Linked DNA regions of Caenorhabditis elegans. The protein of the gene in region 1 purifies or fractionates together with the protein of each later gene. This does not show direct contact. Each region holds a gene or a part of one and is shown on either strand. Other genes may lie near its edges.

Region 1 (5,751 bases):
AAAGTAGTACCCTCAACTCAGAGAAATGATCGAAAAATTAGTATTGTATTACAAGCGATAATTAACACAACTTATGGTACTTGTGTATTACATGCCCTGATTTTTAAATTAAATTTAATGTTCATTAATTTCTCCATTTGAATTAAACGTGATATACATTTTCTCTTTTTAGGCTTAGAAATTGGTAATTCCTAAGCCTAAAAATGCAAAAGTGTGGTTCACGTTTTTATTTCGCATAACTTAAAAAATTACTACTAAAATGAGGGCATGTAATACACAAGTACCCAACTTTTTTTTAGACTTTGAATGTTCTGCGCTTTTGGTTAATAAGAACCAATATGGAAGCTACAATAGTCGTCTTTATTTACATTGTTATTTACAGGAGGTGCGGTCCACGGCTGGTACAGAATATTGTGCTTTCTCCTTATATGTTATGTTAAGTACAAACTTTTTTGAATTGAGTGGTGGTTACCAAAAAAAAAATTATATTTTTGTCAGAAACACGGAAAACAATTTTTATCAATTTTCATCATTGTCATCGCATCTGTTGCCATTTTCTCCTCTTTTTAACTCATTTATTACTTTCCCTATCAATTTTTCCGCTGGCTATTTTCTATAAAATGTATCTACATTATTATGATTTTTTAATTTTGAAAAAAAAATATTTTTAAATTCCCGTGCAAATGAGTGACGTCATTTTCGACATTTTTTTGGTGTATATTAATGAAAAATAATTTGTTACATTTTCAGATTTTTTTTGCATTAAAAATAGTTGAAATTAATTTTGAATAGTCGATTTTTGGCCCAAATTCAGAGTTTCGTTAAATTTATTTCCCATTGCCAAGTGTTCTCAACGGAATGATGCCTCAAAAATTGACAAACTGTGTTTCAAATTATAAGCCGGAAAACGAAAATATGTCAAAAGTGACGTCACTCATTTGCGAGGTAATTCAAAAATAATTTGGCCCATTCTTTAAATTATGCAAAATTAAAAAAAATGTTATCAATTTTTTATGGTCATATTTGGCCAAAAGGGTCTATTTTGCTGCAACATTTCCATTTGTTCTCTTATCAGCACTCTCTCTTTTCTCAGATGTCAATAGTTGTCGCCTGTCTTTTCTCTCTAAGTTTCTCTTTTGAGTTTGGTTTTTTTCCTCCTTTTTTTAATTGCGATGTCATGTTCATATATTTTTGCTTCATACAAAATATTGTGTTTTCTCCTTAAATATTATGCTAAAGGTGGAGTAGCGCCAGTGGGGAAATCGTCAAAAAACCACTCCTTTGATCCCAAAATGACCAAATATCATGATAAAACTTTTCAAAAAAATTTTGAAAATTTTTATTTACTGTCAAAAAGTGGCAATTACTCAGTTTTTGCCACTCATGATTTTGGAAGTCGACCAAAAAAAAATTTTCTTCGACATTTTTTATGTTTTAATTTTGTTCAAATTGTTTGTATTAAAACATTGTAGGGGTCGAAACATGCGATGTTCCTTTAAATTTTCCCAAAAGCTCGTATTTTTCAAAAAATTTTTTGAGTGTTCTACATATTATGAGCTGGCGCTACTTTTTGAACTTTTTGATGGTATTCATCCAAAAAAAAAATTATATTTGAGGTTTTGAATTTTAAAACTGGAACATATGTTTGTGAAATTCAAGCTTATCAAAGAAGTCTGTTGATAATTATTACTTTTTCTTTATCTCCACCAACTTCCAATAATAGAGCTCTCCATTTAAGAATTTCAGCACTGTCAAATGTTTCCGAGCACGTCTCACCGATTCATTGATGCTGGCACATCTGGAAATGCCCAACGAAATAACAAAGAAGGATCTTCACATAAATTACCCAGTCTTGAAAGTTGGTTTGGAAAGAAAACAACATCAGAAGCCACAGCCCAGAACCAAATTGTTGGAGATAATCCACAGAACAATTCGGTTGGGAACTACTTCAATCAGAATTTAAACGAGGATCATCATGATCACCAGTTTGCGCAGCAGGTTCGTGAACTTATTATCTTTATAGATAAAAAACAGTTAGTCTGTCCGGAGCTTGTAGTATATGTAGTCTTTTTAGTCTGTGACGTCACACCCAACTTCACCAAGAGTTGACCCACAAGTTTTGGCGGGAATTCGAATTTTCTGTGAAAAATTTTGGCGGGAATTTAAATTAAAAAAAAAAAATTTCTGAAAAAACTTTTTTCGGGAAATTCGAATTTTCTTCGAAAATAATTTTGGCGGAAATTCAAATTTTCTGAGAAAAATTGTGGCGGAAATTTAAATTTTTGTGTGAAAATTTGTGGCGGGAAATCAAATTTTTTGTGAAACAATTTAGCGGAAAATAAAATTTTCTAGGAAAATGTTTGGCGGAAATTCAAATTTTCTTTGAAAAATTTTGGCGGGAATTCAAATTTTCCGAGAAAAATTTTGGCGGAAATTCAAATTTTCTGAGAAAAATTGTGGCGGAAATTTAAATTTTTGTGTGAAAATTTGTGGCGGGAAATCAAATTTTTTGTGAAACAAATTGGCGGGAGGTCAAATTGTAAGAGAATCATTTTGGCGGAAATTCAAATTTTCTGTGAAAAATTTTTTCTGGGAATTCAAATTTTCTTTGAAAAACTTTGGCGGGAATTCAAATTTTCCGAGAAAAATTTTGGCGGAAATTCAAATTTTCTGAGAAAAATTTTGGCGGAAATTCAAATTTTCGGTGAAAAATTTTGGCGGGAATTCAAATTTGTTTTGAAAAATTGTGGCGAACATTCAAATTTTTGCATGATGTCTACGAAGCTGTGGTGTGGTGCGGGCGGGCGGGAGTAGCGTCCTCGTGGAAGACCTACTTACGACGTTTGATATGTATTGGGAACTTTAGGCATTTAACTGCGAAAGTTTGAACAATTCTTGTTCAAGATCTAACAAAACGTGTTAACCCTAATCCCTCAATACACATTTTTTCAGAATCCTGACAATGCTCTTGACAATTCACAAACTTGGCACAATCTGGACAGAATACATCAAAATTTTCAAACAATGGACATGCAACCATATCAAGAGTATCAGGACAATAATGAGTCGGGCTGGGTGGATTTGAATAACGGTACGCTACTATTGCCCTGGCTACTCGTGTATGTTCTCGTTATTCAGACAACCAATTCCAACAACCCGACAACAACGACCCAAATGCAAATGACCTGAACTTATGGAATATGGAAACTGGTCCGGGGCAAGTCTTTGAAGCGCCAGTGCTGCCAGCTATACCATGGAACAATGACGACAATTTCAATGGTAAGAATTAACATTTAAAATCTGGTTTCCAAAAAACCCTAACTTTACAGACAATTTTACCGAGGACGACGCGATTTCACAGATCTCATTTGATAGTGAAATCAAGAGTGAAACTGATTCAATGGTAAGTTTTAACTCGCATTTTATACCTCAGGGAGATTAAATTGTGATTGGAGTTCCTTCCATGTCCATATAACTTTTTACGTACTACAATACTATTTAAAACGTTTCAGGTTTCAAGAAAACGAAAAAGAAACAGAGAAGATGCACAGAATTCTTACGACAAGAAGAAACGTATCCGGGATGAGAACGAAACGTTTTTCAAATCACAGAAGCTCACCCATGAAAACCTTCTAAACCAGAATATCTTGAATGAAGCACATTTCCGAACAGCGGTCAAGCTTGTCCTTCGTCCCTGCTTCTCAAATCTTCGCATCATCAAAGTTTACTACACCAATTGTAGTTCAGAGCAAGTTTTTCGGTGCCTAGCAGATTTTGAACGTGATAAAGCAGATATCATCACTGAAAAGGATAACTTGAAGAGACGTGATATGAATCTGGCGAAGCTGAAAACAAGAATGGATGAAACTGAAAAAGTATATGACGATGCTCAGGCTGATCTTGACAACAAAAAGGTGAGTAGATGAGAAATCTATGAAAACATTTGCATTATTTAGATTTTCAGGTTGGAATTCCCCCAGGTACTTTAGCAAGCGGTTGTTTTCGAGCAAAACAGAAATATGAGACGGTGGCTTTTGAACACGGAGCAGGTGAACTGCAATATGTAAGTGAATTTATTGATAAATTGGCAATTTCATTTCAATGGAAAATGTAACGGTTTAGGGTTTCTTCTTAATTAATCAGATAAACTCAAATTGTCTCCATTAGGTTAAATTTAATCATGTGGATTTTAAAACAGGTTTCTGAAAATATTTTAAAGCTGACAGAAAATAGACCCTGATAACCGAATATAACTGTACAAAAGTTCGACAAATTGAGCTGGAAAACGCGAAAATCTCAAAAATGACGTCACTCATTTGCGCGGAACTTAACTTTAATAGAGCTGTTTTTTTTTTTGAAAAATTTTGAAAAATCATAAAATTTTAAAAAATTAAATTTTTTTAACAGCTATATTCGGTTATCATGGTCGATTTTCTGGCATTTAAACCAAAAAAAAAAAGTGTTTTTTCTAACACGCTTTTTTTTCAGGAGTTTTCAAAACAATATCGAATTGCGTCGCGTCTGACTGCATACGGTGGTTGGTTTTATCCGGATGCTCGAAATCTGTTACAACACAATTGGCAGTTTTTATGTGATAACGCAGGACCTGATATTGAACAGTTGAAGGAATTGGCAACATTTCTGGTTACACGATAAGCATCAAATGTATTGATAATCCTCTCACCTTTTCCGATTTTTCAAAAGATTTTTCAAATTTTCAAAAATTAGCTTAATAATTTGGTCATTATTCTTCTTCTTAGAAGAAATTTTAATGTTTTTTCTTATCAATATAAACAAAATTAGATAAAAATTCATATTTTATGATTATTTTTCGATTTTTCGATTTTCAAAACTTCAGAAATCGAAAAAAAAACGATAAATCGGAAAATCGAAAAAATTTGTCCTGTTCACCATCCACAACATATCTTCTCTTAAACTCAAACTTTCATGATACTCGCCTTTTTCTTTTTGTACATCAGCATCATCACTGCAAACTAATTTGTTTCATATATGTATATATATAGATCTATTGTATGTTTATTTAAATTAGACATTTGGTTATAGCATTCTGGTCAGTAAAATGCATTTCACGAATATACCCGGAGTAAGGTTGTTGGTCGGATTTGTCTGGTTGTAGATACCCGTGAGGTTCAGTGAAATCAATATTATACATGTGTTGGTTATATGAAATGAATTTAAAAAAATATGTATTCAAGTTGGCATAACAGCTGGAAGCCGTGTAATTTTTCAGCTGTCGAAAACTTTGGGTATAAAATTTCAGAAAGAAAAAATAAAAAAAATAAACGTCGTTTAATTTTCAGAGCATACATATTTAATTCTGTCATATCAAATGAAAATCATCGAGAAAAATTTTAAATCAATGTTAACATTTTTTTCAAACTTTAGTTATAAAGAAAAATTTAAAGAATTTATCCGCTCTGTGAATGCACATGTACGGAAATTTGTCGGCGATTTCTGAAATTTTATCCCAATTAGCATAATTTGTATAAAACTAGTATGTATTAGTTTAAAATGCAATCAATTTTGATGGCTATCACAGCCAAACAAATAAAAAAAATTTCAGGACCTTACCTCTTAAAGCTTTTCTCCAAAAACCTGCGATACGGCGGTGAGAATATGAGCAACGATATAATATTAGTAGATGAATGACATGAGAACACAACTAACATCAGTTCAGCTATCAATTGTGAGTGCTCCAATCTAAGAGCCAAGGCGAGAGCAAAACACGAT
Region 2 (3,016 bases), on another chromosome or scaffold:
TAATTTCCAAATTTACAATTGTATCAAAAAATTAGGCCCCAAAGGAGCCTTGCAGAACAAAAAAGAAATACATGCAACTTTTCTACAGTAATTTATTTGTCATTTGATATTGTATACTTTTGATTTCGTGCCTTCGAGCCAAACTTGTTTGTCACATTACATAAGAAGAATATGTTCTCCCGCAGTCTTTCATATCAAATTCAGAAAACCAAGTCCGTTATCAATCGAAATCACACCTCGTCTCTGCAAAAAAAAATAGCTGAATATTTATGACCGAAAAAAAAAACAAACTCACGAGATCCCTTTTTATCTGCGAAACCGTCTCCTTAGGGCCGTCAAAAATGTCCAGACCACTCAGAGAAATCAAGGTAGATCATGCTTTCATAATCGTCTTTTTTCATCGGACGCTCTCCTTTTGCCACATCAATTGAACTGAAAGCTTCTTGATGCAGAAAATGGTGGAATGTATTTGGCAAGGGGTGAACAGTGGCAGTATCAAATGCTCCGATTTTAACGCGTGTCAACTGCAACAAAAATGACTGTGAAACTATACTGAACTTGGGTGAACAAACATTTGTATCAAAAAACAAAGACGATGGTGCCAAGTTGTTATGCGTAACGCCCAGTTGATGAATATGATGAAGACCTTTGAGCATAACGCACCCGATGGCCAGACGTTACCGGAGCTAAGCTTCTTGACGTTATACTCCTCCATATAAGTTTCCATCGAGAGCATTTCATCAGAAACTGAAAATGGAATATTATTTGGAAAGAAGTGACATCGAAAATCGTACCAATCACGTAGTAATCTCCAAATGAGAAGCGTTCATTGAACTGTGTACAATGACGGAAGCCGGTCAGAAGTTGTCCGCATAGAACCTTCTTCTCTGCAGCTACACGGGAAATTTCGTTGTTCGTCGGATACAGTTGAAGAGAGAATGCGCCACCGCCGTCGACTTTTTCCGACACTGTCTCTACACCGAATTTTCCAAGATACACCTTATCGCAGATAAAATAGTCTCTAACAACATCGCCGGTCTTGATGACCGATCTGAAATAAAAAATTCAGTTTCGGTTCATCCATGAATTGTTTCATGGATCAAGAACACCTGGTTCCACAAGTCATTCTCACATGACTGCAAAAAATTACGAACATTGGAGATCCGATGGATGGCAGTTTTGGAGCACAGAGAGCAGACGTGTTGTAGAGCATAGATGGTAAGGGATGACAACGGCAGAAGCAACAACCAGAAGTTTGAATGACAAGGATAAGTGATTTGAATACGGATTTCTTCGGTTTATATATGCAAAAATTTGAACTTTATCTTTGTTTCTGATCTGTTTGTCCTTGTTTTTCTGTTTTTTGAAACAAGTTTTTGTTTTTCGAAACAATTTTTTTGTTTTTTGAGACAGTTTTTTGTATGTTTTTTTGGCATCCACAATTGTTTCTGAATCTTGAGAAATAGGCATAATCAGGCCCGTAAATGTTGAATTTCCAGTTGTCTAGTCAATATATAGGTCAAAAAATTGAATTTTTATACGTCCATACAAAGGTCTAAAACTTGAGGGGTAGGCACAATCAGGCATGCAAAATTTATATTTTAGGTTTTCACATCTAAATATAGGTCACAGAAAAAACTTTTTTGTACGCCCATACAGTGTTCTGAAACTTAAGGAGTATACATACTCCGGCACGTAAAATTTTATTTTTATGTCATCACGTCGAAATGTAGGTCACAGAAAAAACTTTTTTGTACGTAAATTCAAAGGTCTGAAACTTGAGGGGTAGGTACAATCAGACATCGTAAAATTTATTTTTTAGGTTTTCACGTCAAAATATAGGTCACAGAAAAAAAAATTTTGTACGTTAAGCTACAGTTCTGAAACTTGAGGGGTAGGTACAATCAGGCATGCGAAATTTATTTTTTTGGCTTTCACGTCAAAATATAGGTCAGCAAAAAAAATGTTTCATACGTGAAGCTACAGTTCTGAAACTTAAGGGTTGTACACAATAAGACACGTGAAAATTAATTTAAAGGTTTTCACGTCAATATACAGGTCACAAAAACCTGTTTCACACGTCCATACTAGGGCTGTCATCTTTGTGAAAGCCAAGAAACAGTATTTTGCTTTATAGTTTTAAAACCGCTGATAGTATCAAAATGAAGTTAATTCTATATGGACGTAGAAAAAAAGTTTTTCTGTGACCTATATTTTGACGTGAAAACCTAAAAAAATAAATTTTACGTGTCTGATTGTACCTACTCCTCAAGTTTCAAAACTGTAGCTTAACGTACAAAAAAGTTTTTTCTGTGATCTATATTTTGACGTGAAAACCTAAAAAACAAATTTTACGTGTCGGATTGTACCTATTCCTCAAGTTTCAGACCTCTGTATTCACGTACAAAAAAGTTTTTTCTGTGATCTATATTTTGACGTGAAAACCTAAAAAATAAATTTTGCATGAGTGATTATACCTACCCCTCAAGTTTCGGACCTTTGTATGGACGTATAAAAAATTCAATTTTTTGACCTATATATTGACTTGAAAGCTCGAAATTTAACATTTACGGGTCTGACTATGCCTCCTCCTCAAGTTGCAGAAACAACTGTGGATGCCGAAAAAACATTCAAAAACAGTCTCAAAAAATAAAAACATGTTTCAAAAAACAAAAACCTGTTTAAAAAAACGAAAATCTGTTTCGAAAAAATTGTTTCGAAAAACAAAAACCTGTTTCAAAAAACAGAAAAACAAGGACAAACAGATCAGAAACAAAGATAAAGTTCAAATTTGTGCATATAAAAGTCGGAGAAATTGGTATTCAAATCACTTATCGTTTTCAAGCGATTATTCAACTTCTGATTGTGCTCATCACATTTTTACTGCTCATCGTAATGTACATGAATCGTGCTCCATGTGGTCCTCGCCTGCCAACTCCAGCTTCTCTTGGGTTTGAATTTTCGAGCCTTAGATCCATGAAACAATCGGTGTAATCAATATCATTCTTTTATCATT

The links. Proteins that work in one complex are often made in the same cells at the same time.
Region 2: the proteins of Y60A3A.25 (region 1) and R193.1 fractionate together in Caenorhabditis elegans (co-fractionation; one large-scale study listed by BioGRID). This does not show direct contact.

Annotation. Positions count from the first base shown.
Region 1 is NC_003283.11:19,990,183-19,995,933, reverse strand, and holds Y60A3A.25 (BZIP domain-containing protein), read left to right. Parts: upstream 1-1,740; 5' UTR 1,741-1,755; coding exon 1,756-1,998; intron 1,999-2,952; coding exon 2,953-3,091; intron 3,092-3,138; coding exon 3,139-3,279; intron 3,280-3,329; coding exon 3,330-3,403; intron 3,404-3,512; coding exon 3,513-3,914; intron 3,915-3,964; coding exon 3,965-4,063; intron 4,064-4,488; coding exon 4,489-4,656; 3' UTR 4,657-5,201; downstream 5,202-5,751. Other genes in the region: sri-67 (G protein-coupled receptor), read right to left, coding at 5,430-5,475, 5,593-5,751.
Region 2 is NC_003284.9:1,153,145-1,156,160, reverse strand, and holds R193.1 (uncharacterized protein), read right to left. Parts: upstream 1,214-3,016; coding exon 1,155-1,213; intron 1,052-1,154; coding exon 795-1,051; intron 748-794; coding exon 573-747; intron 525-572; coding exon 521-524; downstream 1-520.